Linked DNA regions of Xenopus tropicalis. The main gene of each other region encodes a partner of the protein of the gene in region 4 in a complex. Links are inferred from orthologs where the notes say so. Each region holds a gene or a part of one and is shown on either strand. Other genes may lie near its edges.

Region 1 (4,229 bases), on a different chromosome or scaffold from region 4:
GCAGACTCCGGTATCTCTCCCTTATATCCAAACCTGGAGTTTCTCTTGCTCCAGATAATCTCCCGTTTGGGAATATACTGTGACCTGAGCCAGCCACTGAATTTCCCTGAGCTACGGCCAGTAATGCCGGGAGGTGATAACCTCACTGATCTCCTCGGAGGGGCCTCAAACTGCCCAACTAAATACACTATCTATCTAGTATAAATAAATTTAAAGCAACTGGACTTGTTTGGTAACAAACAAGTCCAGTTGCTTTAGGGCTCTGGCACATGGGGCGATTAGTCGCCCGCGACAAATCTCCCTGTTCGTGGGTGACTAATCTCCCCGAGTTGCCATCAGTTGCCATCCCACCGGCGAACATGTAAGTCGCCGGTGGGATGGCACACGCGGCGCGATTTCGGCAAGTCGCCGAAAATGCCTCGCGAGGCAACTGCGCAGCGTGTACCATCCTTACATGCTCGCCGGTGGGATGGTAGTTCAGGGAGATTAGTTGCCCGTGACAAGGGAGATTTGTTGCGGGTGACTAATCTCCCCTTGTGCCAGAGCCCTTACATTTATTTATACTAGATATACCATGACCTGGATGAATGAAAATCTTCATAGACATACACTATCTATCCTTTCACTCCTAGAGTGACAATAAAATGTCTAACTGGCTCCTGTAGCTAACCTCTTAGAGAGGTGAAGTCCCAGGAAGAAGACCTCATGGTTTGTGAGTCCATTCCCTTTTATATTGCAGAACACCACCACCTAGTGGTCACTGCTGAACTGCAGAGGAAACTCTCTTTTAATCTGGAAAGAATAATTATAATAATATAATAATTAAAGATGAATTAAAAAGTTAAAAAAAAAATTGTAGATGTTTATGTAAAGTTGGGGGGAACACAGGTCAAAAAATTTCATAACGGTAATGATGCTTCATTGTTATTTGTATATGACAATAAACTAGAAACTATAGCACACACACAATTAGGACCACCCTTAGGTCCATATCCCACAAGGCCACCCACTGGTATGCCTGTCTAAAGGGGAACCCAGGCACAGGGGCCCAAATCTTGGGGTCCCTACATAAAAATTATTAAAAAGAATTAATGAATAACAAAAAAGGGCAACTAATTTAGTAAAGAGAAATCTCAGTTATGAAAAATGACTGCTCGGAAATGTTCTTATGTAAACCAACACAGAGAAGTCAGAAGCCCTGCACAGTGTTATATAATATTCTCCCTTTACCGCACATACACCCCCTGATTCATTACATAGCCACAACAAACATGGCCGCCGACGGCTTCCAATCAGCTGGAACGCCCTCTTGCTTACGTGACGCGTACTCCGAGCGCCGGAAGTTTCCCGGTGGAAAGAACTAGCGCGACGGGTAATTGTGACGCCAGTCGCCGTGGGATTTGGTGCTGGGGCTGAGGCGCTGTTACGGGGTGAGCGAAATCGCACCTTTGGGAAGAGGGGAATTCAGGCTGAACGGCAGCGATTATTTTAGTCATAGGGGATTGAGGCCCTCTAGGAGCAATATATCGCCCCCCACTATCCCTGTTGGCTGGGGAAGCTTACAGCTCGGCTTTATCTACTTAGCAATACTGTACCCTCCTGCCCAGTCTGTGAGTCCCCTGCTAATGTAAGGGAACTCGGCTGGTTAAGCCTATGGCCAGCAATATCAACTTGAGGGACAATTGAAAGTACAGGCATGGGATCCCTTATCTGGAAACCTGTTATCCAGAACGTTCCAAGTTACAGAAAGGCCATCTCCCATAGACTCCATTTTAATCAAATAATTCAAATTTTTAAAAATGATTCCCTTTTCTCTGTAATAATAAAACAGTACCTGTACTTGATCCCAACTAAGATATAATTACCCCTTATTGGAGCAGAACAGCCCTATTGGGTTTATTTAATGGTTAAATGATTCCCTTTTCTCTGTAATAATAAAACAGTACCTGTACTTGATCCCAACTAAGATATAATTACCCCTTATTGGGGCAGAACAGCCCTATTGGGTTTATTTAATGGTTAAATGATTCCCTTTTCTCTGTAATAATAAAACAGTACCTGTACTTGATCCCAACTAAGATATAATTACCCCTTATTGGGGGCAGAACAGCCCTATTGGGTTTATTTAATGGTTAAATGATTCCCTTTTCTCTGTAATAATAAAACAGTACCTGTACTTGATCCCAACTAAGATATAATTACCCCTTATTGGGGGCAGAACAGCCCTATTGGGTTTATTTAATGGTTAAATGATTCCCTTTTCTATGTAATAATAAAACAGTACCTGTACTTGATCCCAACTAAGATATAATTACCCCTTATTGGGGGCAGAACAGCCCTATTGGGTTTATTTAATGGTTAAATGGTTCCCTTTTCTCTGTAATAATAAAACAGTACCTGTACTTGATCCCAACTAAGATATAATTACCCCTTATTGGGGGCAGAACAGCCCTATTGGGTTTATTTAATGGTTAAATGATTCCCTTTTCTCTGTAATAATAAAACAGTACCTGTACTTGATCCCAACTAAGATATAATTACCCCTTATTGGGGGCAGAACAGTCCTGTTGGGTTTATTTCATGGTTAAATGATTCCCTTTTCTCTGTAATAATAAAACAGTACCTGTACTTGATCCCAACTAAGATATAATTACCCCTTACTGGGGCAGAATAAGCCTATTGGGTTTATTCAATATTTGAATGATTTTTACCAGACATAAGGTAGGAGATCCCTTATCTGGTCACGAGCATTCTGGATAACAGGTCCCATACCTGTAGTATCATTCTGCCTTTCCTGTGCTCTGCGCTGCTGCTTCTGACTCCTGAAGCTGTGTAGAAAAAGTCAGCTTATGAAAGTAGGAATTTTAAAACAGTTCTTGTATTTGTGTGTGAAACAGTTGTGTAAAAGATGACAACCGCGGCCAGGCCAACGTTTGAACCAGCAAGAGGCGGCAGAGGTAAAGGGGAAGCCGATCTCAGTCAGCTCTCAAAGCAGTATTCCAGCAGAGACCTCCCCTCTCACACTAAGATCAAATACAGGTATGTGAGTGGCTAAGGCATGTAAGATATTTGTTCTGTAGTCCTTAACATGGCACAGTGAATTATGTTGGTCATTAAAGGGGAAGTATATCCCCCTTTTCAAGATTATTTCACTTGTGCTTGTGTTGAACATTCTTTTTGTTATTATTTACAAACCATTATGAGACACCTCTGTATATGGGTGAAGACACACGGAGCTACTAGTAGCAGCTACTTGTCACGGCTACTAAAATAGACAGTGCTGATCATTTACTGATAATTGTCTCTAAATTGTGTGTTTTAGCAGAGGCAATTCTCAGTATTGTCTGTGGCAGGGGATTTTCTGGCGTTTAGTAGCCGTGACAAATAGCTGCTACTAAGTACCATGTGTCTTCATCCTAATACCTGTTCCTTATCACAGAGCCTAATGACTAAAGGCTGCCCCTGGGGGAAGGGAGGGGTTTGTTTATACAGTGGACTTTTCGTATGTATATATTTATTAAGCGGTACTTATGTACGCAGCGCTGTACAGTAGAATACATTAATACAAACAGGAGGTTATTAAAATAATAGATAAATACAAAGTATAACAATAAATACAGATAAATACAAGATACAGTTGCAATAAGTTAAGAGTCAAAGACACAAGAGGATGGAGGTCCCTGCCCCGTAGAGCATACAGTCTAGATGGGAGGGTAACTTACAGACACAAATAGGCAAATATAAGTGCTGTAGGTCACAGTGGGTGACATTACAATATAAGTGCCAGTTCCCAGATCAGGTGCTGGGTGAGTGCTCCAAAAGTTAGTCTTTAAGTTTAGTTTTAAGAACACTGGGGAGGATTTTCTTCGGAGGAAATCTGGGAGGGCATTCCAAATATAAGGGGCAGCAAGTTGGGAAACTGCAGTAGTAGTGGGGGGGGGGCGTAACCAAGCAGTTACTCTGCGAGGAACAGAGGAGTCGACCAGAAATGTACGGCGACACAAGGGAAGAGATGTAGTGAGGAGCAGAGGAATGGAGGGCTTTGAAGGTTAGGAGAAGGAGTTTGTAAGATATTCTTTGTTTAATAGGAAGCCATGATAAGGACTTTAGCAGGGGAAGGGCCTGAACTCTCCTGGATGAGAGGAGGAGAATTTTGGCAGCAGTGTTTAATATAGACTGTAGTGGGGAAAGATGGGAGTTAGGGAGGGCAGTTAGCAGCAGGTTACAGT
Region 2 (4,064 bases), on a different chromosome or scaffold from region 4:
TAAAACTTGCAGTGTTACATAATAAATAATAGTAAGGGAAGAGAGAATAAAATATGGGCAAAAAGGGCCAAAGGAACAACAGACATTTAATGGAAAGGGGTACAACACAATCCAGCAACTGACCTCCAAACCCACAGAACCCAGTCTCCTTGTAATCTTTGCAAATATCTGGCTGGTAATCCCAACGTACTGTGGCTCTGAGGTGCTCTGGGGCACGTATTGGTCCTTTCCTAAAATGATAAAAGTTAAAGTTATCAATGCAGACTAAACTATTAGGATTTAATCACCCAGTTGATTGAAAAGTGAAATGTTTCTAAATTAAAACAGAATGGAAAGTGGGAGGGGTACACGTACCTAACCATGCCAGAGGATGCATTGCCCATAGAGGTATCTTTGGGTTTCACAAACTTCTGGTAGTTGTGGATTCCTCGATAGATCTTGTCATCTTCCTTCCCCTTCAACTCCTGTCAGATTAAAGCAAAATAAATAGTGGGAACTAAACAGAGTGTCATCTATGAAAAGGAGAGTATTACAATATTAAAGAAAGTAAAGTGAAGAGAAAAAAAGCACAGAATTTTTAAAGAAACTGCATGTAAGTCATGCAGAACACTGCATGCTTTACTAACACTTATTGCATTCCTTAGTGATCCCCAACCATTGGCTCGGGGGCAACATGTTGCTCACCAACCCCTTGGATGTTGCTCTCACTGCCCCCAAAGCAGGTGCTCATTTTTGAATTCTTGACTTGGTGGCAAGTTTAGGTTGAATAAAAACAAGATTTGCTAACAAATAAAGCCTCGTAAGCTGATGGTGTGCATAGAGGCTACCTATCTTATTTGGCACCTCCACAAACTTTTATGGCACTTGTGTTGCTCTCCAAGTCTTTTTACATTTGATTGTGGCTCATGAGTAAGAAAGGTTGGGGTTCTCTGCTTTAGTGGTTCTCTCATAGTTTAAGGTGAATATATAATCCACTGCATCACATACTAAATACTCACTTCCTGTACTTTCTGGCTCCTCTCAAAAATTGCCTGAGCATCCTTGTCTTTTTCAGTGTCTAGTTCATATGTAGCTGTGGCTCCCATGTCATCTGGCCCTACTGGTTTCTGCAAGAAACAAAGAATGCATACATAGTAAGAAATGGGGGGTGTCTTAGACATGTCATTCTATAAATACAGATTTTTTTTCAATGCATCATTTATATTGAAACAAGACAGACAGCATAGGCTGATTCACAAACTGAATAAAATATCACAAAGAACTAACTGATGATGGGTTTCAAAGATTTTAACATTTATGACATAAAGCCTGTGCTAAGAATAAGCCAATTCCAAAAGAGTCTCTTACCGCAGATCGGGTAGATTTATAAGACACAGTGATAGACTTCGCTGTTTTGTCCTCATCTTCACTGCTGCTTGCTTTGTAATCTTCACAGTCCTTTGGTTGCTGCCTGCTCTAAATCACACACAGAGGTAAATACAACTACCAGAAAGCTCAAGAGGACAAACACTACACACATCCCTTCTGTGGCATGTTAACGTCTGTCCTGCACACAGGGTGACAGGCTGGAGAGGGTTATGGCATGTGTTGTGCTTCCATTCAGCCATTAGCTGCCAGGAGAAGATGATGTGGTATCTATATCTCTAAACAGAGAGGTCTACAGGAAATATCTGGGAGAAGTGTTGCTGCCCACTCTGAAAGATTAACTGGCAGAAAATTTTATAAAGCTCCTTAATGCTCCTGGGGCCTCAGGGTGACATAGTGAATACCTGTGACTCTAACCTTCTGAATCATGGGATTAACCACATCCTTCTTTATCCTCCTTATCACTGGACCTTTCTCTTCCTCGCTGCTCTCTGCAAACAAATCAGTAAAGGACTGATCAGAATAGTACAACACACTTATACAACAGATGCATCTAAGTACTATTCTGAAATTCGATAAATTTAAGACACCAAATGCATGTGAGCCCAGTGACATAAAGGTATGGGATCCCTTATCCGGAAACCTGTATCCAGAAAGTTCCAAATTACGGATCTCCTATAGTCTCCATTTTAATCAAATAATTCACATTTTTAGAAATGATTTCCTTTTTCTCTGTAATAATAAAACAGTATCTTGTACTTGATTCCCAACTAAGATATAATTAATCCTTATTGGAGACAAAACAATCCTATTCAATATTTAAATGATTTTTAACAAACTAAAGTTATGGAGATCCAAATTACAGAAAGACCCCTTATCAGGAAAACCCCAGGCCCTGAGCATTCTGGATAACAGGTCCCATACCTGTACCAATGAACAGTAAATGAGGCTGTATGTATAATTATATTTGTTGTTGTTAATGTTTTGCAAATACTTTGATGGGTTTGATTTTTGTTTTGTCATTTGGACCTTAATTCCCTGGTACATGCTACTGATTTCTAATGGTAATTATATCCAGCAAACAATACAGCCACCCTCACCTGCATCTCCTTTAAGATAGTGGTTTTGAGTAAGGAACAAAGTCGAATAGTTGGCCAATATACACGTTTGAAAATAAAAGCAAAAACCTTATTGGTTGCTAACAGCAACAACACTTGCGCAATTAGTTGTATCTGCGCTCTCTTCTGCATTTAACTCATTTACTCCATCCCAACACTTTGCTGAATTTTATACACGGTAAGCGTGTAATGCCTATAATACTATATTATAATAAACATTTATTTGCACTCCCACTTTCTCCTTGTCTCACCATTGTCCGATTCTTTGCGTTTCCGTCCCGCGAACTTTCGGGCACTTTTTTTAAACACGAAACTGCAAACTGGTGCGTTAGAGTCCGCCATTATTCCTGTGACGCCAGACTAGCTCCAGATTGCGCGCATTGGCTGAGGCCACTTCCTGTTTAGAAAGCGCACGCAGGCGCATTACCGGGGGGAAGTCGCGTTGCTCCAGTAGCAAGATGGCAGCGCGCAAAGCGAAACGTGTGAGTTCGAGCTTTGCCAAGCAAAGTGATGCCGAGCGCCACGATTTGGATAGCAAACTCGCAGCAGTACTGGGAAGTAGAACCAATGCCAACGCGGTGTTTGATATTCTGGAACATCTGGAGGTGAGTGCCCGCTTTGCAGTGTGCTAGCAAACAGTATAACAGCAGCCCTGACAAAGAAGAACATCTTTTGCACGAAACAGAAACACAACATTTTGTGTGACAGTATGCACGTCTAAACAGTGTGACTGGAAGTATTTTAAAGTTCTTATAACAGGGCTCGGCAACCAGTGATAGAAAAAGACAGATGGGAGATGGCCATTAGGGAAAAAAGGAAATGTGAAAAATTACATTTTTGCAGAGAGAGAGAGCTTTTAGCGAGGGTAACATATCAGATTGCTAAGGTTACCAGCCTACTCAACGTATAATTGATGTTATTATTAATCAGCAAGAAAGATCCTGTCTGAATATTTATTTAGAAAAGACTGCAGCCTACAGACAGGGCCAGGTGGGCAAGGCGTGACAGCGGTGGGCAGAGCTAAGATTGAATGCTCAGGTCTGAAAAGAGTGGAACTGCTGGTACATCAGGCCGAATTGTTGGCAGTCAGAATCAGCACTGGGTGGTGCAGGGAAAACAGAATGGCATGAATACATAGTTGTGGGTAATGGGAGAGGAAAATTCTAGTAGCAACGACAATTCCATGAAAGATTCTTTCTAACCTCTTGTCTTTTCTCATTTGCTTTCCCTATTACCTCCGCTGCCCTTTCATTCAGGACCTTCTGTTTTGATCTCACACTTTTCCTAACTTTCCCCTTTATCCCCCGCAACCTTCTGACTCTCACTTTTCCGATTACCACACATTTTCACCCCCTCCATAAACAGAACAACAAATGTGTTTGCGAGTTTCAGTTCTCCTATATTACGGTATAGAATCAGTCACACAGGAACTGTTCCCTTGTGATTATTGTTTGGTCTGTAACAGCTTGTATATTCCTCCCCATAGTAATCACAGTCTATGTACTCCTGAGAGCAACTTAGAGGTCTTTAAAAATTCTCTAGATACTTGCATGCAAGCTAATGTGTCGTTAAATCTCTTAC
Region 3 (4,289 bases), about 110 Mb from region 4:
GACTCTACCCATGTACCCGGCAGAGCTTCCCTCTTTGAAGACAGATTGTAGGGAAGAGAGGTGGGAGTCTGGGAGGCTGGTTAGTAGGAGATTGCAGTAATCTAAGCGAGAAAGGATAAGGGCATGGATTAGTGTTTTAGCTGTTACTTGTGAAAGAAAGGGGCGTATCTTGGCAATATTGCAGAGGAAAAATGGCAGATAACCCCAAGGCAGCGTGCAGAATTAACAGGGTTAACGGTCATGCCATCAATAGTCATGGTGAAAGGAGGAGAAGTGATATTTAAGACCAAAAGAAGAAATAAGGTCTCCTAAAGAGAGAGTGTACAGGGAGAACAGCAAAGGGCCAAGCAAAGGGCCCCACACTGAGCTGAACCCCCACACTGAGCTGAGCCCCCACACTAAGCAGAACCGGGGTAGGGGATTGGTTAGTAAGAGCGACAGAGAAGGAGCGGTTAGAGAGATAGGAAGAGAACCAGGATGCAGCCTGATCCCGGATACCCAGAGAATGGAGACTTTGTATAAGGACTGAATGTGCCCTGACAGTGTCGTGCACCAAATTCACCATATTTTCATTTCCCTTCATGTTTATCAGGCCCACCGGCTGTATCTGAACCCAATGCCTTCCTGATAACATCCTGGGGGGTTGGTTCTAGGGTGGGGCAGGTAAGGCATGTCCCCTGGGGGGGGGAGTAGAGAACTGTACAAAGGGCATATGAGACTAACAGCTGTTAGATATTACCAGTTATACACAAGGGGTCTCCAGCTGTTGCTAAACTGCAACTCCCAGCACCCTACACCCTATAATAGGAAGGTACCGTACTCACCGTGACGCCGTATCTGAGTGCCAAGCCCTGCAGTGTGTCCCCGGGCTGGACCTGGTGCTCCAGTTTGCGGATCCGGGCCGGTGAATAGGGCGACTGGACTAGGCTGCCATAGGAACGGGTCCTGGTTCCATGGAGAAGCCCAGAGTCTCTGTGCCCAGAGTTGGATGCCATGGCTTGTGAGCTCTAAAGGGCAAGTTAACTATACATTGTCTGACTGGGCAGAGGTGGAGGCAGAAGTGGAGGCAGAGATGGAGTCCCTGCAGCCCTCAGTCACATGCTGGGCTACTAATTCAATCAGACTGAAAGAAAAAGGGAGAATTCATTAGTATCACATGACAGCACTGACAGGGGTTTGCCCAAGGGGGTTGGGCTGGGCTAAAAGCTGCCCCAATACCCCCAGCACAGACCCACAGCCCTTCCAGCTGCCCAGCACAGGCAAGTACCCAATAATACACAGCTCACTGCTGGGCAGGGGTGACAGGAGCAAGGCATGCCGGGAGCAGTAGTGCAGCACAGGCTCTGCCCCAGGATTCGCGGCTCTCACGGAACTACAAGTCCCATAATGCCCGGACTCCGCCTCCTCCTCTCCGGAAATAAACTACATTTCCCGTAAGGCCGCAGAAAGGAGTACGGTGGCCGCGCAGGGTTACAGCTCTCAAAGGGGGCGCTACAGGCTGGGCTATGTCGTTTAAACGGGATGGGGATGATCTGAGCCAGCTGAACGTTCTAAAGGTACGGGGTGATACCCATACAGGGGAGGGGAGGGTGTCTGGGGGGGGAAGGGTAGGGTATGGTGTCTAGAGGTGGGGGGAAGGGTGGGGTAGGGAAAGGTAGGGTGCCTGGGGGTGGGGGGAAGGGTAGGGTGTCTGTGGGTGGGTGGGGTAGGGTGCCTGTGGGTGGGGGTAAGGAAGAGTAGGGTGCCTGGGGGTGGGGGTAAGGAAGAGTAGGGTGCCTGGGGGTGGGGGTAGGGAAGGGTAGGGCGCGTGGGGGTAGGGAAGGGTAGGGTGCCTGTGGGTGGGGGTAAGGAAGAGTAGGGTGCCTGGGGGTGGGGGTAAGGAAGGGTAGGGTGCCTGGGGGTGGGGGTAGGGAAGGGTAGGGCGCGTGGGGGTAGGGAAGGGTAGGGCGCGTGGGGGTAGGGAAGGGTAGGGCGCGTGGGGGTAAGGAAGAGTAGGGTGCCTGTGGGTGGGGGTAAGGAAGAGTAGGGTGCCTGTGGGTGGGGGTAAGGAAGAGTAGGGTGCCTGGGGGTGGGGGTAGGGAAGGGTAGGGTGCCTGGGGGTGGGGGTAGGGAAGGGTAGGGTGCCTGGGGGTGGGGGTAGGGAAGGGTAGGGCGCGTGGGGGTAGGGAAGGGTAGGGTGCGTGTGGGTGGGGGTAAGGAAGAGTAGGGTGCCTGTGGGTGGGGGTAAGGAAGAGTAGGGTGCCTGTGGGTGGGGGTAAGGAAGAGTAGGGTGCCTGTGGGTGGGGAAGGGTAAGGTGTCTGTGGTTTTGGTTTGGGGTGTGGGTAGGGTGCCTGTGGCAGAGTAGGGTGCAGTTGTAAGGGGGAAGGGTTAATTTAATATCCCATTTCCTGTCTCCCTACAGAAGAGGCGAGTGGCGGATCTGCTGGCCAGTTACATCCCGGAGGATGAGGCTTTGCTTCTTAAAAATGGCAGGTAAGGGTCTCTCCACTGATTGGTTCCCTCGGTGTGGGCCCCTGGGAGGGCTTGCTTCTATATACCCTTATATTCCGGGGCCCCTGCCTATCCCTCTGTGTAACTGTGTTGTGTATATAACAGCTACGCTTGCACCGTGTGCCATCACCGGCCCGTCTTCAGTACCATCGATATGTTGTCTGTGCACAGAAGCGGGAAGAAGCACTTAGCCGGTAAGTTACTGACTAGAAAAGAGATCCATTTCCTGTCTTATGACTTCATTTCCTCTCCAGATTTCTGACATAACGTCCTGTCTGGCATTTGCGGATCCGAAGACTTGCCTAGGGATGTTCCCCTGTTGATTTATTAATTATTTATTTTTGTATTTATAACTTCCTGTCTGACTTTGTGACTTAACTTCCTGTTATGACTTCATTTCCTGTATGCCATTTTAATGTGGAGCCTGTAGCTACTGGTCTCTGCCCCAATACCAGGTTTTATTCTGTCTCCTCCCCCATTATCTTTCTATACAGGCCCTCTTCTGTTCATATACCAGTTTCTCATTCATTCTGCTGCCTGGTTGCTAAGGTAGTTTGAACCCTAGCAACCACATAGCTGCGGAAAACTGCAAATAATAAAAAATGAAGACCAATTGCAGATTGTCTTAGAATATTCTCTATATCATACTAAAAGTTAACTCAAAGGTGAACATCCCCTTTAATGACTGGTCACATGTCTATAATACATATTTGTGCAATGGGCCGCTGACTCCCTCTCAACTCTCCTACAGGTCAGCAGCGGTATTACGGCAAGAAGCTGGAGCATAACAATGAGATCCAGAAGAGGCGCCATTTTGATTTTGTACAGGCAGAAGATGCAGGAGAACAGGTGGGCAGATTTCTCTTTCTCCAGGCTATTGGCTATTAGGGGGCTGTTCCTGCTGAATTGTGCTTAGTACAGGGGAATCCCTATGTGCCATAGTTTTATGGTATCTCTCTGTACAGGCTATGAGCAAACTTAGGGGGTTGTTCCTGCTGAATTGCGCTTAGTACAGGGGAATCCCTATGTGCCATAGTTTTATGGTATCTCTCTGTACAGGCTATGAGCAAACTTAGGGGGCTGTTCCTGCTGAATTGTGCTTAGTACAGGGGAATCCCTATGTGCCATAGTTTTATGGTATCTCTCTGTACAGGCTATGAGCAAACTTAGGGGGCTGTTCCTGCTGAATTGTGCTTAGTACAGGGGAATCCCTATGTGCCATAGTTTTATGGTATCTCTCTGTACAGGCTATGAGCAAACTTAATGGGCTGTTCCTGCTGAATTGTGCTTAGTACAGGGGAATCCCTATGTGCCATAGTTTTATGGTATCTCTCTGTACAGGCTATGAGCAAACTTAGGGGGCTGTTCCTGCTGAATTGTGCTTAGTACAGGGGAATCCCTATGCTGCCATAGTTTTATGGTATCTCTCTGTACAGGCTATGAGCAAACTTAGGGGGCTGTTCCTGCTGAATTGTGCTTAGTACAGGAGAATCCCTATGTGCCATAGTTTTATGGTATCTCTCTGTACAGGCTATGAGCAAACTTAGGGGGCTGTTCCTGCTGAATTGTGCTTAGTACAGGGGAATCCCTATGTGCCATAGTTTTATGGTATCTCTCTGTACAGGCTATGAGCAAACTTAGGGGGCTGTTCCTGCTGAATTGTGCTTAGTACAGGGGAATCCCTATGCTGCCATAGTTTTGAGTAACTTTTTTTTATTTGCTCTCATATCTGCCAGCGTCCACCAGGTCCCGCCCCTTTGCTGGTCCAGACAAGGAAGATTACCCAGCATGCTCTGCT
Region 4 (4,229 bases):
AAAATAATGAACTTTATCACAATATGCTAATTTTTTGAAAAGGACCTGTACATCCTTTGACACTGGCACGAATGGACACAGACACACCCAGAGATTACTCACACAGGCACACAAGAAGCCACATGGACCCACAAACATACACATTCTCTCACACAGGCACACAAGAAACCACATGCACATCCTCTGAAACAAGCACACATGGACCCAAAAACATACACTTTCTCTTACACAGGCAAAAAAGAACCCACATACACATCCTCTGAAACAAGCACCCATGAATACACATTCTAGGAAACAGGCGCTCATGAATGCACATTCTCTGAAACAGGCACCCATGAATGCACATTGTCTGAAACAGGCACCCATGAATACACATTCTCTGAAACAGGCAACAAAAATTGGTATGGTAGGATGGAGCACGCCAGGACTACTGTGATAATAAAAATATTTATCCTTTATTTGTCGCTTCCATTAAAAACACATTACATAATTGAAGAACGGTTACTCCCCAGCTTAACGCGTTTCGTGGCTCACGGCCACTTCATCAGAAGCAATAAACGGAGTCCCCCACCCCCCTGTTGCTTAAATACCCTTCAGTAGTGCACACCCAACACCTCTTTAACCCCCTGTATGCCACATACTCATCCTCAGGTTAGACACACCCAGCACATCCTTAACCCTAGGAGTACCATGTAGAACCATTGCATCAGCTTTTGTTAAATGTACCCCATGTGGTAAGGATATCGTTCAGACATATCCCCATGAATAACGAAATATAAAATGTCATGCTGAGATATTACCCCCACACAATAAGAGAATAAAACAGGCACCCATGAATGCACATTATCTGAAACAGGCACCCATGCATGCACATTCTCTGAAACAGGCACCCATGAATGCACATTGTCTGAAACAGGCACCCATGAATGCACATTATCTGAAACAGGCACCCATACATGCACATTCTCTGAAACAGGCGCCCATGCATGCACATTCTCTGAAACAGGCGCCCATGCATGCACATTCTCTGAAACAGGCACCCATGCATGCACATTCTCTGAAACAGGCACCCATGCATGCACATTCTCTGAAACAGGCACCCATGCATGCACATTCGCTGAAACAGGCACCCATGCATGCACATTCTCTGAAACAGGCACCCATGCATGCACATTCTCTGAAACAGGCACCCATGCATGCACATTCTCGGGAACAGGCGCCCATGCATGCACATTCTCGGGAACAGGCACCCACGCATGCACATTCTCGGGAACAGGCACCCACGCATGCACATTCTCGGGAACAGGAACACAAACAATCTCGTTCCATGGTAACTGCTAGTTCTATAACCCTCGTTCCCTCCACGAAAATCCCAGTATACCCACAATGCGTTGCGACGCCCTGCTCTTCCCACAATGCAGCTTTTCATCGTGTTGGTAGACTTTCCCAGGATGCTTTGCGCTACTAGCGAGAAAATGGCCGCTGGCGGCTCTTCGCAAGCTCCAGTATCTTTTGGATTTAGTCGCAGTTCGAAAAAGAAATTCCTTGTGGCCAATGGAGATGAGAGAGAAGAGGACGAGAAGGAGTATTTGGTCGGGGCAGAGGGTAAAGAGTTGCTCAGGTAAGATATAGATATAGAGTGTTTGCGGGAGAAAGTGGCAAGTGCAACACTGCTTGGGTTTGTCTGCTGTAGTTACTTGTAAAGTCAGCGTGGGTTTGTATTATTTCTCTCTTATTATATAATAGTGTATAGTACACATGGTTAACCTCTTCTTTACTATTTCTGTTGCTGCACCCATACAACTGTATATTATATATTAGAGGTGCTAATGGGTTGCCATGTAGCTCTAGCTTCACTTCAGTATTTGGAACGGTCGGAGTTGCAGTTTAGCAATAGCTGAAGGACCATAGACTGACTCCTGAAACCATGCAGTAGCAGAAGTCTGTACTCCAGGTCTGTTAAAGGGGTTGTTCACCTTTAACTTTACCTATGATGTAGAAAGTGCTATTTTCAGACTGTTTACAATTGGTATTTATTCTTTATTATTTGAGATTTTTGAATTATTTAGCTTTTTGTTCAGCAGTTCTCAAGTCTGAAATTTTTGACAGCTGTCTGGTTGCTAGGGTCCAATTTACTATAGCAACCATGCAGTGATTTGAAAGAGAGACAGAAATATGAAACTACCTTCTGGGCAGTGCACCACCAACATCGTTTTCCTGTTCCTGGTCATTAGGGATGCGCTGAATCCAGGATTCGGTTTGGGATTTGGCCACGATTTGTCCTTTTTTTTTTTTTAGCAGGATTAGTATTCAGACGAATCCATGATCCTGGCCGAACTGAATCCTTAAAGGAGAAGGAAAGGCTAAGTCACTTGGGGGTGCTAAAATGTTAGGCACCCCCAAGTGACTTAAATCGCTTACCTCGTACCCTGGGCTGGTGACCCTGTTAGGAGAAAACAGCACCAGCCCGGGGTACCTGCAGCGATGCGCTTCCGCCTGCATTTCGCTAAGACTAACACAATAGGCGCATGCGCAGTAGAGTGAAAAGCCGACTTCTCGGAGGAAGCGCTGCAGCTACCCCGGGCTGGTGCTGTTCTCTCCGAACAGGGGCACCAGCCCGGGGTAAAAGGTATGCGATTCAAGTCACTTGGGGGTGCCTAACATTTTGGCACCCCCAAGTGACTTTCCCTTTCCTTCTCCTTTAAAACCACGTGACTCTTTGTCACATAAACATGGAAGCTGAAATTTTTTTGCAGCACAGACCGTTCTCTTTAACCCTTTCTTACCCTAACTTTTATATGTAAATTCTGATTTAGTTTGTTACTCGCCCATATCTTTTAAGGATTTGGGGTTCGGCTGATTTCGAAAATAGTGGATTTGGTGCGTTCATACCAGTCAGCCCCAGTAATCGAACTTGGTACATGTGCAGCATAAATATCTGCAAAATGTCGTGTACTGCAGGTGCTTGCTTAAGGTGGTGTAGGGAATATGTGGGAAAATAGAAGAAGATGACTATGTTCACAAGTCACCCAATACTGGTGCATTTTTTAGAAGAAGAGGAGAGCCAGTGGGGTAGTCCTTAGCCTAAAATATTTTCACTTCCAGAGGTTTTTCCTTTCGGTGCAAGGTAAATTACTTTGGAAAATGTGCAATACATTTATTGTTATGTTTCATGCTTGTTATAACACTTCCTTCTTTATTACTACAGCTTTGGCCTGCGTTGCAAGCAGCATGTATATTATAGCATCACCTTAATGTTATACAAAAGGGGTCAGATATTGATGTGGCTGGGGAGATAATCCTTTCAGCTGAATGGGCTAGTTTTAATAAAGAGCAGTAGCAATGATGCTTGTGTCACTAAAATATACAAAATAATAATGTGCTTCTCTTTGAATAATAGATTTTTCTTCCGTCTCGGGGACATATGGGGTTAAGCTCCACCTTTTAGGAGGCAAGACACTTGATTGACAAATTAAAGGGACGTGCCAGGTGGGGCTTTACCCTTCCACTGTACCCGATCCATCAGTTTTTCAAGTGTCGTCCTACCAGGAGGATGGACAGCCAGGTCTCTAGTGAGATTTTTCAGGATTCCTTCAGTCAGGGCCTAGCCCTGACACCCCGGGTGACACCAGGAACAGGGTTACCTGTTGCCTAAATGGTTAACCCCTACACGGGACGCCCACCGGGCTCAACACCTGTCCCAGTGGGGACTGTACAGACCACCCAGACAGTTTCCTGCTCCTTAGAGCAACTGCATAGGGTCTGGCTGGGTGGGCCCGCGACCCCCCTCTGTGTAGCCCCCCCACCTGTCTGGCTGCTTTGATGGATTACCTTTCTGTAAGCTTTAAATGGTATTAGTACTGGCCCCCTGCATGGTTAACACCTCAGATTTAGGATGTAAACCCCCTGTATTGTTCACACCTTTTAATTCCTACATTGTTCACCCCGTGCAGTGTTCACACCTCAGGCTCAGGCTGTTATCACCCACATTGTATTCCTGTTCACACCTCAACTGTAGGAGCAGTAGAAACCCACAAATAGACCCTGCACACTATAAAAAGAACATATACTGTGGTGGTACTGCAATAAAAAAGTGTTTTAATATATAGTTATTGTGCAGACTGTAGGAGCAGTGGCAGGATTGTGTCACTGTAGGCTGCCTGTGTGTGCCATACTCTGCCTGCCATATGCTGCCTGTATGTGCCATACACACAGGCAGCATAGGACAG
Region 5 (4,213 bases), about 46 Mb from region 4:
AAAAGGGTGTATACATACAGATTATTATAACGCGCTGATACATTCTGCAGCTCTTTAGAGAGATTATAAACCATTCATGTCACTATTAGCCCCACCACAGTTTAGATTTCATTAACATACTGGTCTATGCAAGAATTGGGAATATATACAGTGGTGTGAAAAACTATTTGCCCCCTTCCTGATTTCTTATTCTTTTGCATGTTTGTCACACAAAATGTTTCTGATCATCAAACACATTTAACTATTAGTCAAAGATAACACAAGTAAACACAAAATGCAGTTTTTAAATGAGGGTTTTTATTATTTAGGGAGAAAAAAAATCCAAACCTACATGGCCCTGTGTGAAAAAGTAATTGCCCCCTGAACCTAATAACTGGTTGGGCCACCCTTAGCAGCAATAACTGCAATTGAGCGTTTGCGATAACTTGCAACGAGTCTTTTACAGCGCTCTGGAGGAATTTTGGCCCACTCATCTTTGCAGAATTGTTGTAATTCAGCTTTATTTGAGGGTTTTCTAGCATGAACCGCCTTTTTAAGGTCATGCCACAACATCTCAATAGGATTCAGGTCAGGACTTTGACTAGGCCACTCCAAAGTCTTCATTTTGTTTTTCTTCAGCCATTCAGAGGTGGATTTGCTGGTGTGTTTTGGGTCATTGTCCTGCTGCAGCACCCAAGATCGCTTCAGTTTGAGTTGACGAACAGATGACCGGACATTCTCCTTCAGGATTTTTTGGTAGACAGTAGAATTCATGGTTCCATCTATCACAGCAAGCCTTCCAGGTCCTGAAGCAGCAAAACAACCCCAGACCATCACACTACCACCACCATATTTTACGGTTGGTATGATGTTCTTTTTCTGAAATGCTGTGTTACTTTTACGCCAGATGTAACGGGACATGCACCTTCCAAAAAGTTCAACTTTTGTCTCGTCGGTCCACAAGGTATTTTCCCAAAAGTCTTGGCAATCATTGAGATGTTTTTTAGCAAAATTGAGACGAGCTTTAATGTTCTTTTTGCTTAAAAGTGGTTTGCGCCTTGGAAATCTGCCTGCAGGCCGTTTTTGCCCAGTGTCTTTCTTATGGTGGAGTCGTGAACACTGACCTTAATTGAGGCAAGTGAGGCCTGCAGTTCTTTAGATGTTGTCCTGGAGTCTTTTGTGGCCTCTCGGATGAGTTGTCTCTGCGCTCTTGGGGTAATTTTGGTCGGCCGGCCACTCCTGGGAAGGTTCACCACTGTTCCATGTTTTTGCCATTTGTGGTTCGCTGGAGTCCCAAAGCTTTAGAAATGGCTTTATAACCTTTACCAGACTGATAGATCTCAATTACTTTTGTTCTCATTTGTTCCTGAATTTCTTTGGATCTTGGCACGATGTCTAGCTTTTGAGGTGCTTTTGGTCTACTTCTCTGTGTCAGGTAGCTCCTATTTAAGTGATTTCTTGATTGAAACAGGTGTGGCAGTAATCAGGCCTGGGGGTGACTACAGAAATTGAACTCAGGTGTGATAAACCATAGTTAAGTTATTTTTTAACAAGGGGGGCAATCACTTTTTCACACAGGGCCATGTAGATTTGGAGTTTTTTTTTCTCCCTTAATAACGTAAACCTTCATTTAAAAACTGCATTTTGTGTTCAATTATGTTATCTTTGACTAATAGTTAACGGTTTTGATGAGCAGAAACATTTAAGTGTGACAAACATGCAAAAGAATAAGAAATCAGGAAGGGGGCAAATAGTTTTTCACACCACTGTACTAAATCAGATATAACACTATTTTTCTGACAACAAAACGTCTACTGGTGATTTTTTGTTTAATGGAGAATACAATTTTATTAAAAATGGGTTACCCTATTAACTGTCCATTTTGGTACGATTTTAATTACTAGGTTTAATTTTCCCCAAATAATCATGTTTAAAGCTGTTTTTACCCATCGCTATCTACTTGCTGCCTCCATGTTTTTAAAGGAGTGCCCCATAGTCAAAAACATTACTGAGCATGTGTGAAGTCCCACCCCTTATTGCTAGAGCAATTAAGCCTTAATAAACTAACAAAAAAGTCTGGGCTGAATGTGTTAAAAGGCATATTTTTCAGTCATATGCATTTTTTAAACACAAATTAGTGTTTAAGTTGACCACACAGATCTCTATAATCGTGCAAGCACATAAAGCTGCAGAATATTTCCTTTGTAGAAACTTGTCATGTGGGTCCAACCAGGAAAGATATGGAATTGATTAGAAATTGATTGAAAACATTTAGAACCATTGAAAATGTTTAAATCGTGTATACTGAATAGTTGCTTAGTATTAAAAGACACATATCGGATTTGAATTGGGCTAATAGAACCCGCACTTAGGTTGGGGGAAACAGTACCATTTTGTCCAAAAAAATGCTCATAGCGATGTGCCACCCACACCCGGATGATGGAGAACTTGCTGCAGGTAGCCATGTTATTAACATGCCTGTATATAGTGAGCAAGTGTCACATGCAATTGCATAATGAGAAAACCCGGGGAGCTGTTTATACACACGACCTGGTGCTGGTAGCCTGCAAGGGAAGCTTTTTGGCACTGCCATCTCTGCCACAGTAATTAAATCACAGAACTACACAGCATTTTCTAAGTGCAGGCAAGTTCCGGCTAGTACAATCGCATGCTCTGCTACATAGAGGCATTCGTTCTAAGCGTCAATCAGCTAAACTTAAGTAGATACAAAAGGCTAGTTTTTTTCCTTATTTTTAAGTATTTAAAGCTGGGCTGAAGATATTCCACCAGTTACTCACATCTTTCTTTTTGTCTTTCCTTTCCCTTCTCACGTTTTCCCGGCGTGTAGAACGCTTCCTTTGAAGGGCCACTTCCGCTTCCGGGCCACTTTAGCGGCTAGTTCCTGCTTGATTTGGTTAAGCCTGTAGAAACGTGCCCACGTGATCGACACGAAACAAGTTCCCTCCAGTTTGCTACGCAGAGGGGCAGCGGCGTAATCTGACAGAGAAAAGGCGGGGTGGATTAGTTAACAAAGAGGGCGCATCTAGTTCCTAGAGTGGTTATAGGACAAGGCAAATCTTATTCCAATATTGTTCCAGTATGTAAGGCAACGCTCTGTGCTGGGAATTCAGTCGCTAAAGAGCGCAATAAGAACAGTTCCATGTTTCATTTTGACCATGTTTTCTCAGATTGTGCAATTGGAGGGATATACCAGTAGGTGGCGCAATTGTTACATAATAATTATAATAGACGCTTATAACATGCTTAATAACTTTGAAACTGAAAACAAATCTGAATTGCAAAAGCATTTGGAAGACCGACCAGAAAATGTGTACACTTTTTAGTGTCCTATTGTGTAAAATAACTGAATGGATAGCTTTACTGCGTAGCAGATTTAAAGGTGTTCTTCACCTTTGAATTAACTTTTAGTATGATATAGAGCAGTGTTCCCCAAACAGTAGCTTGCGAGCAACATGTTGCTCTCCAACCCCTTGGATGTTGCTCCCAGTGGCCTCAAACCAGGTGCTCATTTTTGAATTTCTGGTAAAGGAGGCATGTTTTGCAGCCATAAAAAACAAGTATAATGCCAAACAGAACCTTCTGTAGGCTGCCAGTCCACATGGGGGCTATCAAATAGCCAATGATAGCTCTCATTGGCACCTCCAGGAACCTTTTTCATGCTTGTGTTGCTCCCAAACACTTTTTCCACTTGAATGTGGCTCACAGGTATGAAAGGTTGGGGATCCCTGATGTAGAGTGTAATATTCTGAGACAATTTGCAATTGGTCTTAATTTTTTATTTGTAGTATTTTTTTTAGTTCTTTCACTTTTTGTTCATCAGCTATCTTAGAGCTAGAGTCCAGATTACCTTAGCGACCAGGTAGCAATTTGAATGAAAGGGTGGTAAATAAATAGGAGAGGACCTGAATAGAAAAACAAGTTATAAAAAGTAACAATAACAATAAAACTGTATGCTCACCAAGCAATAGTTTTTTGGCTGCTGGGGTCAGTGACCCCTATTTGAAAGCTGGAAAGAGTTAGAAGAAAATAAAAAAATGATTCAAAACTATAAGAAATAATGAATAGGAATAGGCAATTCTATAACACACTAAAAGTTAAAGGAACAGTAACACCAAAAAATGAAAGTGTATAAAAATAATTAATATATTATGTACTATTGCTCTGCACTGGTAAAAGTTGTGTGTTTTCTTCATAAACACTACTACAGTTTATA
Region 6 (3,876 bases), on a different chromosome or scaffold from region 4:
TGCCTCAGATTTCCAGGTATGTATTTATCTATTGCCCTTTTATGGCTTCTTCTTCCACAGCTTCCTTTTCCAAACATATTCTCTTATCTGGATTTGCATCATATGGGTCCAATTTTCATGTGGAAATATGCTACTACTTTCATGCAAATCATTTACTTCACAACAAATTTAAATAAATGAAAATGTAAATTTCAGTTTAATGGTCCAGTACACACTCCTGTTTAACAATCAAAATGGATATTGTTTCTGTTGAAGGGAGCATATAAAAAGAAATGTATTCCTGAATGAAATGCTAGGAAAGGAGCATTCCCCTAGCAATGGTAACGAAGAGAGCATTCTATAAAAATGTACTATTCCAGATCCAAAAACAAAAATGAACAAAAAAACCTTCCATTCAGTACAAAGGTAGCTCAGGGGTATATATAACATAAGGCCTATTAATTGGGCTTATACTTTATATGGGTGTTTATTTTGCCCCCATTCAAATTTTTGATGCAGAAAGATGTTGAATTGCTGCCATAACCTTCAGAGGGTTAATCTGTATTCTTTGGCCAGTGTTAATTTCTGTACAAGTCCTCCAGATCCATGAATACAAAACCAGCTCTCACTTTTTTTTCTGCTTCTATAGAGCAAGAATGAAGAAGAAGATATAGACAGAACCCCGTGGGGAGAGCTGGAACTATCCGATGATGAATCATCTTCAGAGGAAGAAGAGGATGAGAGTGATGAAGATAAACCTGATGAAACTGGATTTATTACCCCAGCAGACAGGTGCGCTGCTAGCTTTCATATTTTTACATAGATGCTATGTACAAGTAGAATTTTTGGGTCTTTCTGGTCATCCTTTTCTTGGCTGTATTCAAACTGAGATCTTTGTTAAATCCTTAAAGGTTCTACCAGCAATTGAACATTTAACAATATCTAATATAACTATATCTATTCACCATCAGCCAATATAGTGTGTATTGGCAGTATGAGAGAGGTTTTTGTTCTATGTGTGCATAGAGAACAATGGATGCTTGACTTTTTTTTTTCTTTTTAAATTAGCATTTGGGTAATAAAACCAATAGTATTCTGAAAAACTAATCTGGTTTGCAAAAACTAGCCCTACAGCTCTATTGACCATTAGCAACCCCCATAGCTAAGCAGCGACATAGTAGTTAGCTATATAAACAGTACTAGAGATTTTTGTCACAACTGCTCAGTCTTTAGTTAATATTTTTTTAATTAATTTAATATTTTAAAGTATTATTGTTTTGTTAATTCTGGCAGTGGTTTAATTACCCCGGGAGGCTTTTCTTCTGTCCCTGCCGGCATGGAGACGCCTGAGCTGATTGAGCTGAGGAAAAAGAAGATTGAGGAAGCCATGGATGGGTAAGAATTGTTGAATCTGATAAATCTATTATTTTTGTCTTCCACACTCAAAAACAATTTTTATTACTTTGCTAAATTTAAGCAGTAATTTTGTGCGTGGGAGTGATGGAACTAGGTACAGTACCTACATTACCAAAAGGATTTTTGTGTAAGGTGTTGAAATGTAAAGTAATTCAAAGCTGCCTACACTAAGAAGCTTTACTTTTTGTATTTCTCTGTAAAGCTATAGATAAAGGCAATATGGCCTATTACATTGTGTTTTTTCCAAAAAATGTCCTGTTGTGTGTTTAATTTTTTTTTAATCCTCACTTAAAATGTTTTCTCTTAGAACGGAGACGCCACAACTCTTTACAGTACTTCCAGAAAAGAGGACTGCTACTGTGGGTGGAGCTATGATGGGCTCCACCCACATCTACGATATGGCCACGGTGAGAAGGGAATCCCGATGTTGTCAAAATCTTATTAGCAGAGGAGACAGGAGAAAAGAAAATAGTTTTAGAGGAAGGACAAAAATTAACGCCTGAGAGGCAGTTGGTGGTTGTACAGAACAGATTGGAATGATTTACTTACAAGGTTATATTTTGGGTGGGATAAACAGTGAGCTTATAACAAACAACAGGGAGACATAATTTAACCAAGTCTCTTCTAGCTCTGGGCAAAGAGATATTAATGTATTTTTAAATCTTCTACAGGCCATGTCTCGCAGAGGTACCGCCACTGAGCCACAGGGCGTAGAAATTGCTCTGGCCCCTGAAGAATTGGAATTGGATCCGTCGGCAATGACTCAGAAATATGAGGAACGTGTAAGGGAAGCTCAGGAGCAGGTACAGAAAGAAGACTTTAGTGACATGGTGGCAGAGCATGCAGCGAAACAAAAGGTATGTTGAAATTGTACAACCCAAAATAAATATATGTATATGCATCTGTAGTGTTAGTTTTTACAAGTAAGAGATTATCCCAAAACATTAGTGACTATTAGACCTATGTTACAGTCTGCTTCATCCCACAGGTATTCTGTTAGCTTGAGGTCAGGACACTGTTCAGACCGTTTAAGTTCCTTTACTCCCATCTCAGCAAATGAGTTCTGGGTTGAACAAAAGTTGTGCTTAGTGCATCATTGGGCTAAAACAGTATTAAAGCCTTTCCCAAACTCCTGGAATCTTGGCATTGTCTAAAATGTCATAATATGCTATAGTGTTAAGGTTTGCTTTCATGGGAACTAGGGGCCCTAGCCCAAGCTATGGAGTACAGCCCCAAACCTTTATTTCTCCTTTACAATAAACTTTACGAGTCCAGACAGGTAGCATTTTCCTGCCATAGGGCAGATAATCAGTAGCATTTTCTTGCCATAGGGCAGATAATCCGTAGCATTTTCACCACTGATTAGAAAGATGGACCCAAACTCCTGGCTTCAATATAAACAAAATATTTCAGAGAAGGAGCTGGTCCTCATTTATGCTTCCCAGACACACAACACAGCTCCTTTTCTCCCTGTATATCATACCTCTTGACATTTCGTGTAACAAACCTGCTATATATTGAGATATAATGCAACTATTTTTAAAAATAAAGTACATTAGGCTTCACTAAGCAGTTACATGAAATGAAAGCACTGCAACCTCATGCTGTTCGATGGTTAAGGAACCACTCGGTTACAATATTCACTCCACAGCAAGTGAAGTGTCCTTATTTGTATTATTTTTATGGATATACATAATAATATATGCATTCCTTTGTTACACCTATAAAATATATTCATTTTATTTCTCTTTTCTTATCCGTTGTACAACCAGCAAAAGAAGCGGAAGGGGCAACCACAGGATTCCCGAGCAGGTGGCAAGAAATACAAAGAGTTCAAGTTCTGAGTCTATTCCACACCCAGTTTTTTCTCTGTTCCTTTTACATTCTTTTATTTCTAATAAAACTGTTAAATTAACTGGGTTTGGTCTTTTCTTTATTTTCACATTTATTATATAGGTGTAATTGTTTGTTTAGGAATTAATTTTAAATAAATTTTAATATTTAATGGCGGTGTAACTGTAGGAGGTAAGATAAATTGCTAGGGGTGTTCATTGTAATTTAGTTTCCATGCTGGTGTCCATCATAGCAGTGATTCCCAACCAGTGGCTCGGGGGCAACATGTTGCTAACCAACCCCTTAGATGTTGCTCTCAGTGCCCCCAAACCAGGTAGTTATATTTGAATTCCTGACTTGGTGGCAAGTTTTGGTTGAATAAAAACAAGATTTACTACCAAATAAAGCCCCTGTAAGCTGATAGTGTGCATAGAGGCTGCCTAATAGCCAATCTTAGCCTTTATTTGGCTCCTCCATTAACTTTTATGGTGCTTGTGTTGCTCTCCCAAGTCTTTCTACATTTGACTGTGGCTCACAAGTAAGCCATATATAGCCATATAATGCTATGATCCATTTTATTGATATTGGCACAAGTGATGCGTGGGGCAGGAAATTGTCAACACCATACTAGCATAGTTAATGAAGGTA
Region 7 (3,595 bases), about 51 Mb from region 4:
GTTACTGCGGGAATTTCTCACTGAGCCTGATCTGGCATCTTACAGGTATCCATTATGCAATCTCTGGATTTGTATGTATTTAGGCAGGGGACTTCTGTTACATATGAATACATCATGCCTCATACAGAATCTTTAGAAAAATTAATTCATTTGTACAGCGACCAGCCTGTATTCTGTATTACTCTCTCCATTTCCTTATCATTTTTTTTTTCCACAAGTGTAATAATAATAGATGAAGCTCATGAAAGGACTTTGCACACAGATGTTCTTTTTGGCCTCATTAAAGACATTGCCCGTTTCCGCCAAGACCTCAAAGTTCTGGTAGCCAGTGCCACCCTAAACACAGAGCGATTTTCCTCCTTTTTTGATGATGCCCCAGTGTTTCGTATTCCTGGGCGCCGGTATCCAGTGGATATATATTACACCAAGGTAAATCACTGTAGGTTTGACACGAGAATTGACATTGGCAGCATTATTGATGAGATTGGGCATTTTATGTTTATTTCCTTTTTTGATGAATGATATTTTCACAACAGGCTCCTGAAGCAGATTACTTGGAGGCCTGTGTGGTGTCAGTGTTGCAGATTCATGTTACCCAGCCACCAGGAGACATCTTAGTCTTTCTTACAGGACAGGTATGTAGGCAGAAGTGGGAATGTGCTAACCAACAAATATATACGTTTTGGTATTTAAAAAAAAAAAAAAAAAAAAAAAAAGTTTGAAAAGTCACTGACCTTAGGTTAATGTGATATGGGATTATTTGACTGCCTAGATAGAAGTCCCTTCCAGTTAACATCTGTAGGAAATGCAAAAAAAAAAGCTCATGCTAAATAGTGGCAGTGTGAATTTTGTATGTGCAATAACCCTTTGTTAGGTTTATCATTTAATGTAAATGTACTGATGTTATAAGCAGTGCCACTGCTATGCAGTCTTGGTACATGTACATTTCATATGTTGCAGGAGGAGATAGAAACATGCTGTGAGATGCTACAAGAGCGATGTCGTCGACTAGGATCCAAGATTGCAGAGATGCTGGTGTTACCAATATATGCTAATTTGCCTTCTGACATGCAGGCAAAGATCTTTGAACCTACACCTCCAGGAGCAAGAAAAGTATGAGAGTCTAGCTGGTTTTCTTGTACTTATTAAATAGTAAAGTCTGACTCCCACCCTTCTGCCGGACCTAAACATCTAAAATGACGTGTCTGGACATCATCTTGTAGTGTAACCCAATTATGTAGAGAGAGAAATAACTAAACTAAATGCTTAGCACACCCTTTAAGAATAGCACAGACAAAAGATGCTATAAGTTATTCCCTTACATTGTGTGTTTCAGAGAGAAGGGAATTGTGGTACTACTTCTTCCTATAAGGAGTCTGAGGCAAATACCATATGCAGTATTGGGCTGCCCTTCTAAACCTGAGCTGTATAAACTGATGTAACTACCAGTAACTACCCTAAACTGGCACTCCAACGATGTTTTATTATGAATTGCTTCCAGACTCTCCCACAGGACCTACATGGCCTCTAGTAATGTGATTAAGTGTACACAATAGCTACATATGAGGTCTTATTAAATATAGAAAACCTACAATGTGTTCATTAAGGCATGTTAATAAATACACATTATAAAGTATAAAAATGACTGAAACCATTCTAAAGCTGGTATTATATGACTGTGGTACTAACAGAGCATTTCCTTGTATCCAACCCTTGTATATCTGTATAACTGTATGACACTCCCAACCAGTTTAGTTACCATAAGGTTGTCTTTAAAGAAGAGTTCTTATTAATTTGCAAACATACAGGGGTGCCACCCTCAAAGCAGGCTATTCCACATATATATTTTGCAGCTGTATCTGTCATATATAGTGCTTAAATGTTAGGCAGAGCGTCTCAGGGCATGACATTTCCTCTTCCTATTCAAACATGCTGGAGTAGTAGGTTAGAAGGAGTTATGAACCTTTTAGCATTGTCGTATTTTCTTTTTTTTTCAGGTTGTGATAGCCACTAACATTGCTGAAACATCACTTACAATTGATGGAATTATATATGTTATTGACCCAGGTTTCTGCAAGCAGAAAAGTTACAATGCTCGATCAGGAATGGAGTCCCTCATTGTGACTCCCTGCTCAAAGGTAAGTCTTACTAATCTGTTGAACCAATGCTGTCCATCATTTTCAGTGTAGAAGTTTTCAGGCAGATTTTTTTTTATAGATTTAAAAAAATAAAAAAAAAAAGTCTATGGCATACTTGGGCAGACATAGGGTCAAAAAATCTTTGGTACCACAATTGGACAGCTTTAGTTCACCTCCTGCAAGATTTTCAGCCTAACATTAATTTATAACTGCAGAATAGCCCTTAATTTAATAATCAATGAGAAATGCTTTCAAAACAATAAGGGTAAACCCTTATAATGAGGTGTTAGTACCACACTTTGGCCAAAATATGTAAGCTCTTGTGCCACGTCAAGGCCCCTCATTGTACGCGAGTCCTACACTGTCTAATGACTTTGAGTCTGTGATGCAATTAAAATCAAGTCCCCCAGCAAACAATGTGACTGAGTAGTAAGACCCTGTTGCACCTACCTTTAGCTCAAAAAGGCTCTAGTGGAAAAGCAGGGAACTTTTAAGCCCCAGCTCATTAGCACACACATGAAAGTGATTCATTGGTTTAAAGGCTACATAGCAGCTAGAAGCAAAATTTGGCTACAATTTGTACACAAAACACAGAAAGAAATCGCCAGCGCTCGGTCTAACCCACGCTGTAGCGTTGACCAGCTGCTAGAAACACCCTTGTGCCAGCGCTCGGTCTAGCCCACATTCTGGAGTTGACCAGCTGCTAGAAACTATAAAAAGCCATTAATTATACACAAAGAGAAAGAAAGATTGCCAGCACTTAGTTTGCCTTTAAAAATAATTTTTACAAAAAATGAGGTGTTAGTACCACACTTTGGCCAAAATATGTAAGCTCACGTGCCATGTCAAGGCCCCTCATTGTACGCGAGTCCTACACTGTCTAATGACTTTGCTGGGGGACTTAATTTTAATTGTATCACAGACTCAGTGTGACTGAGTAGTAAGACCCTGTTGCACCTACCCTTAGCTCAAAAGGGCTCTAGTGGAAAAGCAGGGAACTTTTAAGCCCCAGCTCATTAGCACACACATGAAAGTGATTCATTGGTTTAAAGGCTACATAGCAGCTAAAAGCAAAATTTGGTTACAATTTGTACACAAAACACAGAAAGAAATCGCCAGCGCTCGGTCTAACCCACGCTGTAGCGTTGACCAGCTGCTAGAAACACCCTTGTGCGCTGGCAATCTTTCTTTCTCTTTGTGTATAATTAATCGCTTTTTATCGTTTCTAGCAGCTGGTCAACTCCAGAATGTGGGCTAGCCCGAGCGCTGGCACAAGGGTGTTTCTAGCAGCTGGTCAACGCTACAGCGTGGGTTAGACCGAGCACTGGCGATTTCTTTCTGTGTTTTGGTAAACCCTTATAATGTCAGCCTCGTCTTGCCAATATTAAAACTAGGCCTTAAAGGGGCGGTTTGCCTCTAAGATAACGTTTATAGATACATTTTAGAATGTCCTACTC

What was found.
Region 1: gpkow (region 4) and cwc15 share a complex: the UniProt entries of both Homo sapiens proteins name them as parts of the minor spliceosome. The link is inferred for Xenopus tropicalis from reciprocal best matches to the Homo sapiens genes GPKOW and CWC15.
Region 2: gpkow (region 4) and rnf113a share a complex: the UniProt entries of both Homo sapiens proteins name them as parts of the minor spliceosome. The link is inferred for Xenopus tropicalis from reciprocal best matches to the Homo sapiens genes GPKOW and RNF113A.
Region 3: gpkow (region 4) and scnm1 share a complex: the UniProt entries of both Homo sapiens proteins name them as parts of the minor spliceosome. The link is inferred for Xenopus tropicalis from reciprocal best matches to the Homo sapiens genes GPKOW and SCNM1.
Region 5: gpkow (region 4) and snrpd2 share a complex: the UniProt entries of both Homo sapiens proteins name them as parts of the minor spliceosome. The link is inferred for Xenopus tropicalis from reciprocal best matches to the Homo sapiens genes GPKOW and SNRPD2.
Region 6: gpkow (region 4) and sf3b2 share a complex: the UniProt entries of both Homo sapiens proteins name them as parts of the minor spliceosome. The link is inferred for Xenopus tropicalis from reciprocal best matches to the Homo sapiens genes GPKOW and SF3B2.
Region 7: gpkow (region 4) and dhx16 share a complex: the UniProt entries of both Homo sapiens proteins name them as parts of the minor spliceosome. The link is inferred for Xenopus tropicalis from reciprocal best matches to the Homo sapiens genes GPKOW and DHX16.

What each region holds. Positions count from the first base shown.
Region 1 is NC_030678.2:164,535,068-164,539,296, reverse strand, and holds the start of cwc15 (protein CWC15 homolog), read left to right. Parts: upstream 1-1,395; 5' UTR 1,396-1,430; intron 1,431-2,897; 5' UTR 2,898-2,908; coding exon 2,909-3,039; intron 3,040-4,229. UniProt on the Homo sapiens protein: Involved in pre-mRNA splicing as component of the spliceosome. Component of the PRP19-CDC5L complex that forms an integral part of the spliceosome and is required for activating pre-mRNA splicing.
Region 2 is NC_030677.2:156,458,475-156,462,538, reverse strand, and holds the start of rnf113a (RING finger protein 113A), read right to left. Parts: upstream 2,844-4,064; 5' UTR 2,826-2,843; coding exon 2,735-2,825; intron 1,857-2,734; coding exon 1,783-1,856; intron 1,456-1,782; coding exon 1,348-1,455; intron 1,107-1,347; coding exon 999-1,106; intron 465-998; coding exon 355-464; intron 231-354; coding exon 124-230; intron 1-123. Other genes in the region: noc4l (nucleolar complex protein 4 homolog), read left to right, coding at 2,942-3,088. UniProt on the Homo sapiens protein: Required for pre-mRNA splicing as component of the spliceosome. As a component of the minor spliceosome, involved in the splicing of U12-type introns in pre-mRNAs. E3 ubiquitin-protein ligase that catalyzes the transfer of ubiquitin onto target proteins.
Region 3 is NC_030684.2:137,909,031-137,913,319, forward strand, and holds the start of scnm1 (sodium channel modifier 1), read left to right. Parts: upstream 1-1,410; 5' UTR 1,411-1,505; coding exon 1,506-1,556; intron 1,557-2,402; coding exon 2,403-2,473; intron 2,474-2,596; coding exon 2,597-2,685; intron 2,686-3,242; coding exon 3,243-3,340; intron 3,341-4,227; coding exon 4,228-4,289. Other genes in the region: lysmd1 (lysM and putative peptidoglycan-binding domain-containing protein 1), read right to left, coding at 825-995. UniProt on the Homo sapiens protein: As a component of the minor spliceosome, involved in the splicing of U12-type introns in pre-mRNAs. Plays a role in the regulation of primary cilia length and Hedgehog signaling.
Region 4 is NC_030684.2:23,990,593-23,994,821, forward strand, and holds the start of gpkow (G-patch domain and KOW motifs-containing protein), read left to right. Parts: upstream 1-1,387; 5' UTR 1,388-1,415; coding exon 1,416-1,621; intron 1,622-4,229. UniProt on the Homo sapiens protein: RNA-binding protein involved in pre-mRNA splicing. As a component of the minor spliceosome, involved in the splicing of U12-type introns in pre-mRNAs.
Region 5 is NC_030684.2:70,386,158-70,390,370, forward strand, and holds the start of snrpd2 (small nuclear ribonucleoprotein Sm D2), read right to left. Parts: upstream 2,851-4,213; 5' UTR 2,780-2,850; coding exon 2,778-2,779; intron 1-2,777. UniProt on the Homo sapiens protein: Plays a role in pre-mRNA splicing as a core component of the spliceosomal U1, U2, U4 and U5 small nuclear ribonucleoproteins (snRNPs), the building blocks of the spliceosome.
Region 6 is NC_030680.2:40,081,435-40,085,310, reverse strand, and holds the end of sf3b2 (splicing factor 3B subunit 2), read left to right. Parts: coding exon 1-16; intron 17-628; coding exon 629-771; intron 772-1,272; coding exon 1,273-1,374; intron 1,375-1,702; coding exon 1,703-1,802; intron 1,803-2,066; coding exon 2,067-2,252; intron 2,253-3,167; coding exon 3,168-3,239; 3' UTR 3,240-3,310; downstream 3,311-3,876. UniProt on the Homo sapiens protein: Component of the 17S U2 SnRNP complex of the spliceosome, a large ribonucleoprotein complex that removes introns from transcribed pre-mRNAs.
Region 7 is NC_030684.2:75,482,085-75,485,679, reverse strand, and holds part of dhx16 (putative pre-mRNA-splicing factor ATP-dependent RNA helicase DHX16), read left to right. Parts: coding exon 1-45; intron 46-218; coding exon 219-429; intron 430-536; coding exon 537-635; intron 636-960; coding exon 961-1,113; intron 1,114-1,997; coding exon 1,998-2,138; intron 2,139-3,595. UniProt on the Homo sapiens protein: Required for pre-mRNA splicing as a component of the spliceosome. Contributes to pre-mRNA splicing after spliceosome formation and prior to the first transesterification reaction.